2 linked regions of the Ovis aries genome follow. The protein of the gene in region 2 interacts with the protein of the main gene of each other region in a biochemical or structural test. Links are inferred from orthologs where the notes say so. Each region holds a gene or a part of one and is shown on either strand. Other genes may lie near its edges.

Evidence for each region. The genes of interacting proteins can lie anywhere in the genome.
Region 1: the proteins of RBX1 (region 2) and UBE2R2 form a complex in vitro, tested with the Homo sapiens proteins (10 studies listed by BioGRID). The link is inferred for Ovis aries from reciprocal best matches to the Homo sapiens genes RBX1 and UBE2R2.

Annotation. Positions count from the first base shown.
Region 1 is NC_056055.1:37,686,203-37,690,599, reverse strand, and holds the start of UBE2R2 (ubiquitin-conjugating enzyme E2 R2), read left to right. Parts: upstream 1-1,527; 5' UTR 1,528-2,121; coding exon 2,122-2,298; intron 2,299-4,397. UniProt on the Homo sapiens protein: E2 ubiquitin-conjugating enzyme that accepts ubiquitin from an E1 ubiquitin-activating protein, and catalyzes its covalent attachment to other proteins by an E3 ubiquitin-protein ligase complex.
Region 2 is NC_056056.1:217,993,042-217,996,873, reverse strand, and holds the end of RBX1 (E3 ubiquitin-protein ligase RBX1), read right to left. Parts: intron 3,732-3,832; coding exon 3,646-3,731; intron 3,006-3,645; coding exon 2,942-3,005; 3' UTR 2,932-2,941; intron 1,662-2,931; coding exon of another isoform or gene 1,599-1,661; 3' UTR 610-1,598; downstream 1-609. UniProt on the Homo sapiens protein: E3 ubiquitin ligase component of multiple cullin-RING-based E3 ubiquitin-protein ligase (CRLs) complexes which mediate the ubiquitination and subsequent proteasomal degradation of target proteins, including proteins involved in cell cycle progression, signal transduction, transcription and transcription-coupled nucleotide excision repair.

The DNA.
Region 1 (4,397 bases), on a different chromosome or scaffold from region 2:
ATGTTAATAAGGGGAAATTGGATGCCAAGTATATGGAAATTATCTGTACTATTTTCTCTGCTTTTTTTTTTTTTAAGTCTATTAAAAAATGGAGGGGGTGGTAACCAGAATATAACTATGCCTTAAAATTTTTTTAATTTTTTAAATTTTAATTTTATTTTTTTACTTTACAATACTGTATTGGTTTCGCCATACATTGACATGAATCCACCACAGGTGTACATGAGTTCCCAACCCTGAATCCCCCTCCCATTTTTTCTTAAAGTTCCTATTTATGGAGTGTTTACCATATGCTGGTCATTGTGCTAAACTCTGTACATGGATGATTTAATTTTTATAATTGTTTATATGTTAGGCATAATTAACCTCTTTTACAGAAGCTGATGAAAAGGAAGTGGTAATATAATATAAATGGTGGAGCCAGGATTGGAACCAGGGATGTTTCTGATCCCAGAATTCTAAATGTGTGGAACTCACAGTATCCTGCCTTTTCTAGAAAATGTTCAGTTTTCATAGGACAGGCCTTCCAAAGAGAAACAGGGCCTAAATTATGGGATTGTAGACAATTTCCACATCTCACTTCACTCATGATTATTTTCAAAGAACCCCAGGTCTAAGATCTGCAGGGGGTCAAAGTTCAACCAAGTACCTCATTTTACAAATGGGTAAATGGAGGATAGCCACAGCATTTGTCCCAAATCACACAGCAAGGGCCAAGAACCCAGGTTCAGTCTGTATGATTATTTCTCTTTTTATTTCCCACAGCTTCCTCTTTGTAGTTAAGGGAAGTAGAAACTGACCTATCTGCTTTCCCCATTTCTCGGATGGGAAACTGCACTTCAACCCCCTAAGTTGGCAACACGCTGCTCTCCAAAGACACAATGGCATGAGGACTGGATCCGTAGAAATGTCAGGACGCTTGTTCCCAACGACAAAACCCGCACTGTCAGCACATCCTTGTCAAGCACCTACTGAGTGCTGGGACGACAGACCGTGTGTTACGGCGGGGTGGGGAGGGGACGTTAGGCCTGTAGAGGATCAGGGCTCTTAGGAAGACAACTGCGGGAGGCCTGAGGGTACAAGTAGGGGGAGGAGGGCGATGACAGCTCTAGGACAGAGGTCCCTTCCGGGGCGCGCCTTTGGAAACGTAACGTCAAGCCGCACAACCATCATTTTGGGGACAAGGGCACCCCCAGGGGCCACCCTCAAACCCCGGCCTCACCGTCACCCCCCACTGCCGCTTGGCCCTTTAAGGGCGGGGGACGCGCGCCGGCGTCACAAAGCGCCGCCACCTGGCGGGGTGGTGGAGAGGAGGCGGGGAAGTGGGAGGAGTAGGAGGGGGAGGAGGGAGAGGAGGGCGGCAGGGGCAGAGGAGGTGGGGAGGGAGAGGAGGGAGGGAGGGGCGCGCGCACGCGCGTCGCGTCGCTCGCCGCCTAGAGCCGCTCTCGGCCAAGAGCCGCCCTCCCTCCCGACGCGCGCCCCTCCTCCCTCCCGACGCGCGCCCCTCCTCCCTCCCTTCTTCTTCTCAGCTTCGTCGCTCCCGCGGCGCGAGGCGCTCTCGCTCTTCTCCTCCTCCTCCTCCGCCGTCGCCCCTCCCCCCGCGCAGCCGCCGCCGCCGCCGCCGCCGCAGCCGCGAGACCCCCGCGTGTCGCGCTTCCCCCGCCCTTCGGCCCCTCGCGCCCTTCGGCCCCGGCGGCCCCCGAGGAGAACAAGAGAGCGAGCGAGCGCGGCGCTCCCGGGCCATCCCGGCCCGGTCTCCTCACCGTCGCCGGCCTTTCGCCGCCTTCCTCCGCTTCCACCTCTTCTCCCCCCCCCACCGCCAACCAAGTTGAGGCCCCCTCCGGGGGGGGGAGGCCCGAGACCCGGAGCGAATTTCAACTCTCTCCACCCCTCCCCCCACCCCGGCCCGAGTGTGAGGAGAAGGGCCCGGCCCGGCCCGCGTCGTGTGTGAGGAGGAACCGGGCCGGCCCACGGGCCGTGTGGGGCCTGGTCCGGGCCGCCGGGTGTGTGAAGACAGGGGCCCGGAGCGGCCCGGCAGAGGGAGAGCGGAGGGGAGGGGCCTGGTCCGGCCCGGCTGGTGCGTGAGGACTGGGGCCCCGGCCCGGCGCCGCCGCCGCCGCGATGGCCCAGCAGCAGATGACCAGTTCGCAGAAGGCCCTGATGCTCGAGCTGAAATCCCTGCAGGAGGAACCGGTGGAGGGCTTCCGGATCACCCTGGTGGATGAATCCGACCTCTACAACTGGGAGGTTGCCATCTTCGGACCCCCTAACACGCTCTACGAAGGCGGCTACTTCAAGGTACCCGCAACCCCGCTCAGGCTTCCCCGGGCGGAGGCCGCAGTTTTCGGCTGTTTTCCCGGCCGAGAGTGGGAGCGCGGGGGAGCGGAGGGGGCTCCTCACCTCTGCAGCCCCCTCCCCCCATCCGTGGAGGCAGGAAGGCCTCGCTTGCTCACCCGGTGCCTTTTCTTTGTCATGGGGGCGGGGGCGGGAGGCCAGCCTGCACCGGGAAATAGGAAAGCCTCTGTGGCTAGGGTAGTGGCTACCGGAGGAGGAGGGGGGAGGTCTTTGTTTTGTTTCCCCCGCCGAGGGTGTACGGAAAGAAAGGGATCCCCCACGGCCTCCCATCAGAACCATCTCTGCGCCGGCTGGAACTACCCCAGAGGGCAGAGTGACCTGCACTTACGGGATTGGACCTTTTTTTGGGGGTGGGGGGGTGGGGTAGGAGGGTGGGGGAGGGGTATCGGCCTGTCATTCCAGAGGCTGCCTACTGACCTGACATTTTGGGGATTTGAGGGCTTCTTGCATATAGTGGTGGTTCCAACTTCGCATTCCAGTGGGTGGTAATGGAGAATAGGACCCTAGGGGTGGTAAACAAGGGCGCCTGCGTTTTCTTGCCATCAGCCACTTGAGGGAACTCGAATTTAGCCCTCTTTCTGTCCTCATTTTCTATTTACTTCAATGCTGTTTCAAAATGCCCTTTGTCCTCACCCTGCCACCAACTTTACTGCACTCACCCCCGCCTTCCCCGGCCTCCCGTGTAGAAATATCCACTGAGGGCGGAACATGTTGTATAGGGAGATTGATGATTTCCCACTTCAGGGAGACAAAATTGAAACCTTTTGCTTAGATGGCTAACTCTAGCAAACGGGGAGAGGGGGGTGGTCTCACAGGTGAAGAGTGACATCTGCGGTGGGATGGTTTCACAAAGTAGGACCGATCCTTAGCGACCGTAGTTATACTTTCTATTGTTTTCCAAGATGTTAGAACAGTGGTTTTTATCATTCCTGAATCCAGTAGTTTTTTCAGTTTCCAAATAGATAGTTGGAAATATTGAGGGTCTTTTGTTTTTGTTTTTATTTAACCATTTTTTAAGGGGAAAATCACAGATTGAAGGTCGAAGTTTTAAATGATGGGGGACAGAGAGGAAATGAGTACTTAAGAATTCTTTTAAGTTAATTTTTTTTATTTCCAAAATTAAGTAAAATAGGTCTGTGAGTCAGTCTTAGTTTGTTTTGAAGGGAGGGGCTATCTTGGCATAAGTTTTAAATGAGTATCTTAGTCATGTAGTTACGTGTGTTTTTAAGGACTGCCCAGTTAGTTTAGTTTCTACTCTTCTAAAGGTAGAAGCCTCAGTTTCAGGCTTGAGATTGGGTCTGTTTTGTATAAATGTGAAGAATTGATTGTGGAATGTTTACTATTCATGTCTGTGATAGTCACTTAATAGCTGATTAGAAGCATGCGTTTAGTATTTAGAATATTGTATATACCAACCATACACTGTACTCTTCAGAGGAAAATACTTGCAAAATCTACTGGCTAATTTTAGTGAAATGAAGTTTAATTTCTAAAAAGTATCATTATTTGGGACAATCACTTGTCAGGATAAATGGTTACTAGTTAGAATTATCTTACTCCTAGGCAATGCATTAAAAACAAACAACAACAAACAAAGGAAATAATGGGTTTAAAATGGTAATAGTTTTGCTTAGGTAATTGAGAATGGAGTGTGGTGAACCCTCTCAGTTTGGCATAGGTAATATGGAAGGAGGATTCCTTGAAGCATGCACTGATTTAAATTAACTGCTTTTTAAATTCAATCTTATTTAAAAAGAATCTCGTTTTGTTGTATGTTTAGATGTATATTTTTTTACTTTTGTGACATGTAAAAAATGTATGAAAATTCTTAAACAGATTTGGTGTTTTAGTGGTATGTGAGAATTTTGTTCAATTTTGTTCTCGTCTTCCTTTTTTTTTTCTTTTTTAAATGGCTTTTTATTCCAAAGTCTTTCATTGGAAAAGGCAAATTTATGGTCATGAGCAGTTAACACTGGTGACAGGTTTAAAACCATTGTTTTTTATTTCACTGCTTTTGTGAAACAAGGCTTTTAGTGTGTCTA
Region 2 (3,832 bases):
CATAAGCGTAGCCAGCAAAAGAGAAGCTAGTCTTTGTGAAAGAGCGACAGAATCCCAGCAGGGATGCCCTGGTTCTAGTCATTCATTCTTAGGTCCAGCCCCTTCTGTGTCCCTTACTCCTTTCAGAGGACACAGCCCCCTAGCCCTCACAAACGTTCCATGACCTAAGCAGAAGCTGGAGTCGGCTGCTCTGCAACCAAGGGTCTTTATGAACACCCAGGCAGAACTCTGCAAATATGTGACGCCAGCTGTGTGAAAACCATTCTTCTGCATCGCTTAAGTGTTCCTGCAGTGTGAATGACCACCTGAAAGGGGTTTAAAGGAGGTGATTTCTGCCGAGGGTGGAAGGAACATCGACGGCAGCAGCCACCTGGCCCTGAGCGACTGCACTGCTGGCGGCCAAGTGGGGAAGCTGGGTTCCACCCAGGTTGGACCTCAAAGTTCTTATTACTAAGCTAGAGGTTCTCAAACTTTTGAGTCTCAGGATCCCCTTATGATCTTACACACTGAAGAAACCAAAGAGTTTTTATGGGGGTTGCATCCACAGATATTTACCACAATGGAAATCAAACTGAGAAATTTAAAAGATTTTAAAAGAACAAAAACCCATCACGTTAACATAAATATTTTTATTCAAAGTAACTAGTTTTCAAAACAAAAGTTAGAAGAGTGGCACTGTTTTACATTTTTGCAAATCTCTTTTATATCTGACTTAGCAGAAGACAGCTGGATTTGCTGCTCTCTTTTTTCATTCAATACGTTGCTTTGTCTGAAGGAAAAAAAGAAAAATTGGCCTTGTACAGACACGCAGCCGGAAAAGGAACTTCGTGAACCTCCTGAAAGTGTTTCCATTACTCCCGCAAGTCCTCAGCACACACTTTGAGAATCACTGCAGTAAATTAACCCGCCTCTCAGTTAAAGACTAAGAGACTGAAGTAGTGTTAGAACTGGCAGTTCTGTCCACAGCCAAGGCATCTTAAACAAATTACAAAGGGTGGTGGTGAGGAAGGGAAACCTGAATTCTCCCGTTAACTCTAAATGACACTGTTTTCCAATTTGAGTTCACAGATTACTCCATCGCCAGCCAAGATGACATATTAATTTTTTTTCAAGTTAACTTTTCTAAACTAAAATGAGAAAGCAACATGTCATACACAAAGTTAACACCTGTACAGCGTTCTCACAGTTTATAAGGCCTCTTTCTGTGCCCACATGATCCTGTTTAGTCCTTAGCAGCCACTTCACGGAGGAGGAAGAGCTCGGAGCAGACAGACCACTCGCCCAAGATCATCAGCAGCAGCCAGGCTGTGGACCAGGCTTCCTTGAGACCAAGCGACGTGCTCACAGGACGATCCTGCTTTGGCTCTGATGAACAAACACCTCACTTTCAAAACCTAGCCTTCCACCCTAGAAAGGGGCGGGAGGCCCTTTACTTGTGTTCACTTTTTGCACATACACAAAAGACAGCGTCTGTTCTAGAATCCAACTGGATTTTATTTGACACAGAATACAGTATGGCTGCCAGAATAGCAAACTGAAAAGACAAAGCAGAAGAGACACAGTTCTATCTAATTTATAATAAGTAACAGGAGGGCAAGTCATTCAGTGGATAACAAAAACAGTTGAGCTTGATGGAAGAATTCTTTTTCTAGTGCCCATACCTGGAAGACAAAGTAAATTATTAATTCATTCCTTATCGTGATTCCCTGTTTGAGACTGTAACACCTGCTAAAAATATATCCACCAATCTGGTTAAAACTTTGAAGATTGGGTTTCAACCCTTGTCTCTGCCCCTTTCAGCCTACCGGCCTCCTGTAACATTGTCCCTACCACCCTCTTCATAGTGATGGTCCCCCACTCAACTGCACCCACCTGACTCTTTCCTGGTGCCAGGCAGATACTGGGCAGTGACAGGGAGGAGTCACGGCTAATGGCTGTGAAAGGGAGCTGCACTTGATGGCCAGTATGCAGCTAAGACAGCTTGAATCCTCCGCCCTCTTCCCTGTGGGCCGCCTCTTCCCCTCAACTCCCATACTTGGGCTAGTTTAGGGTAAGACCCCTACAGAGGATAGTAACCGAACAGCCTTCAGTGTCAAAATCTATCACCAGTTCCAATTACAGCCCTGAGTCTGCTGAGCACCACCGAAAGAACTGTCGAGAAACTAGCTATGGATCTCAGGTCCTTTCTGATTTCCTCAGAGGCCAAAACTTGGCTCCAGAAAGATTATAACCAATGGTAGGACATTTTTTCCACATGTAAGATTTCTTGAACACAGAATCCATTATTATCTTAATCTTTGGCCATGGTTCTTAGTGGGTAGTTCGCCTCTAATGAAAATACTTTGCTACACAGATGGAGACCAGGGCACCAGAATTCTGCATCACTGTTGCCATCATCCTGAAGGGCTGCTAGATTCTTTAAGTACTCCTTATAAGAAATTCGCTTAAAAATTCCCTAAAAAAGTCCTCACAGGGTAGAGCTCCAGCTTGTTAGTGAGAATAACCTAGAAGTTATCCATCAGTTTAAAGCATGCTGAAATGAAATTTGCTTCTTATGAATTTGTTTTCCCAGGGCGCTCATAACCACAGCCAGGCAAAGTCACCAGCTGGATAAAGCGACAGTGTCAAAGCCTAGCAGGAGGATTCGTCACCCCCCCACTTCTTAGGCTCAGCCCTGGGCACGTGTATGGGCTACGTGAGACAGTTTTGATCCAAGATGGCACCCTGAGCCTGCTCCACGGCACAGTCAATTACAAAGGTCTCTTGAGAACTTCGAAAATCCCCCTTTCCATTAAAAATTTGATAAATTAACTGAAAATTCAACAGATAAAAAAGCATTTCACAGACAAATACAACAGGCATAAAAACATATGAAAAGCAGCCCAACTTTACTCAAAGTTTTAAAAAATACAATTGAAAACTAATTTTCACCTGTCAGTAGCTAAGATGAAAACGTCTGATAACAAAGCACTGGCAAGAAATGGAGGAGGAAGTCTTCTGCTTCACTGTTGGTAGGGGCTGTGAATTAGTACATACTCTTGGGAAAGGAAAAAAATCTGACACTATCAAAAATAAAAACATACATACTCTTAAACCAGAAATTCCTCTTTTAGGAATTACTAGTACAGACTGATCATTTGAAGTTTTGAAAATTTGCACGCCGTGTATTACTTACACGCTACTACAATTAACAGCAGCAACAATAATGATTTAGTTGAGATAGCCACAGATGCTGTATCAGAATTAATCCCTGTGAGATAAACCAATGAAACATGATATAATTCTAGCCCAAAGCAAAGACAGATGACATTAGTTAGCCCCTGGAGCCTTATTCTTGATGTGATTGTGGAAATATTTAATAGCTTGCAAAATGAGAATTTGCAAGCTTCTACTACTACTTCCAAAGACCCTACCTAGATGGCTGGGAAACTCCAGGCTGCAAGTTTCTAATGCTGGTTCACCTTATACACTTTCCACAGAGACGCGTCCTCATCTAACTAACCGAAAGCTACTTTATGAACCAGCCATGTTCTATGTCTTCATCTTCTAAAACTGTGCACCCTCCAGCTTGACGTGGGTCCAAGAACAGTACTGACCACAAAGCCCAACCTTACATACGATGTCGAAACAGCCGGGGACACCTACTTTTGGAATTCCCACTCTCTGTTGTCCAACGGACACACCTGCCGTGTTTTGAGCCAGCGAGAGATGCAGTGGAAGTGGAAAGCATGCTGGAAGAAAAGATACATTTTATTAAAAATAATTCTGTGCAGGCTCAGCCGTCTACGGACAATATATCTCAAGGGGAGCAGGGTGGTGATACACAGCGGCT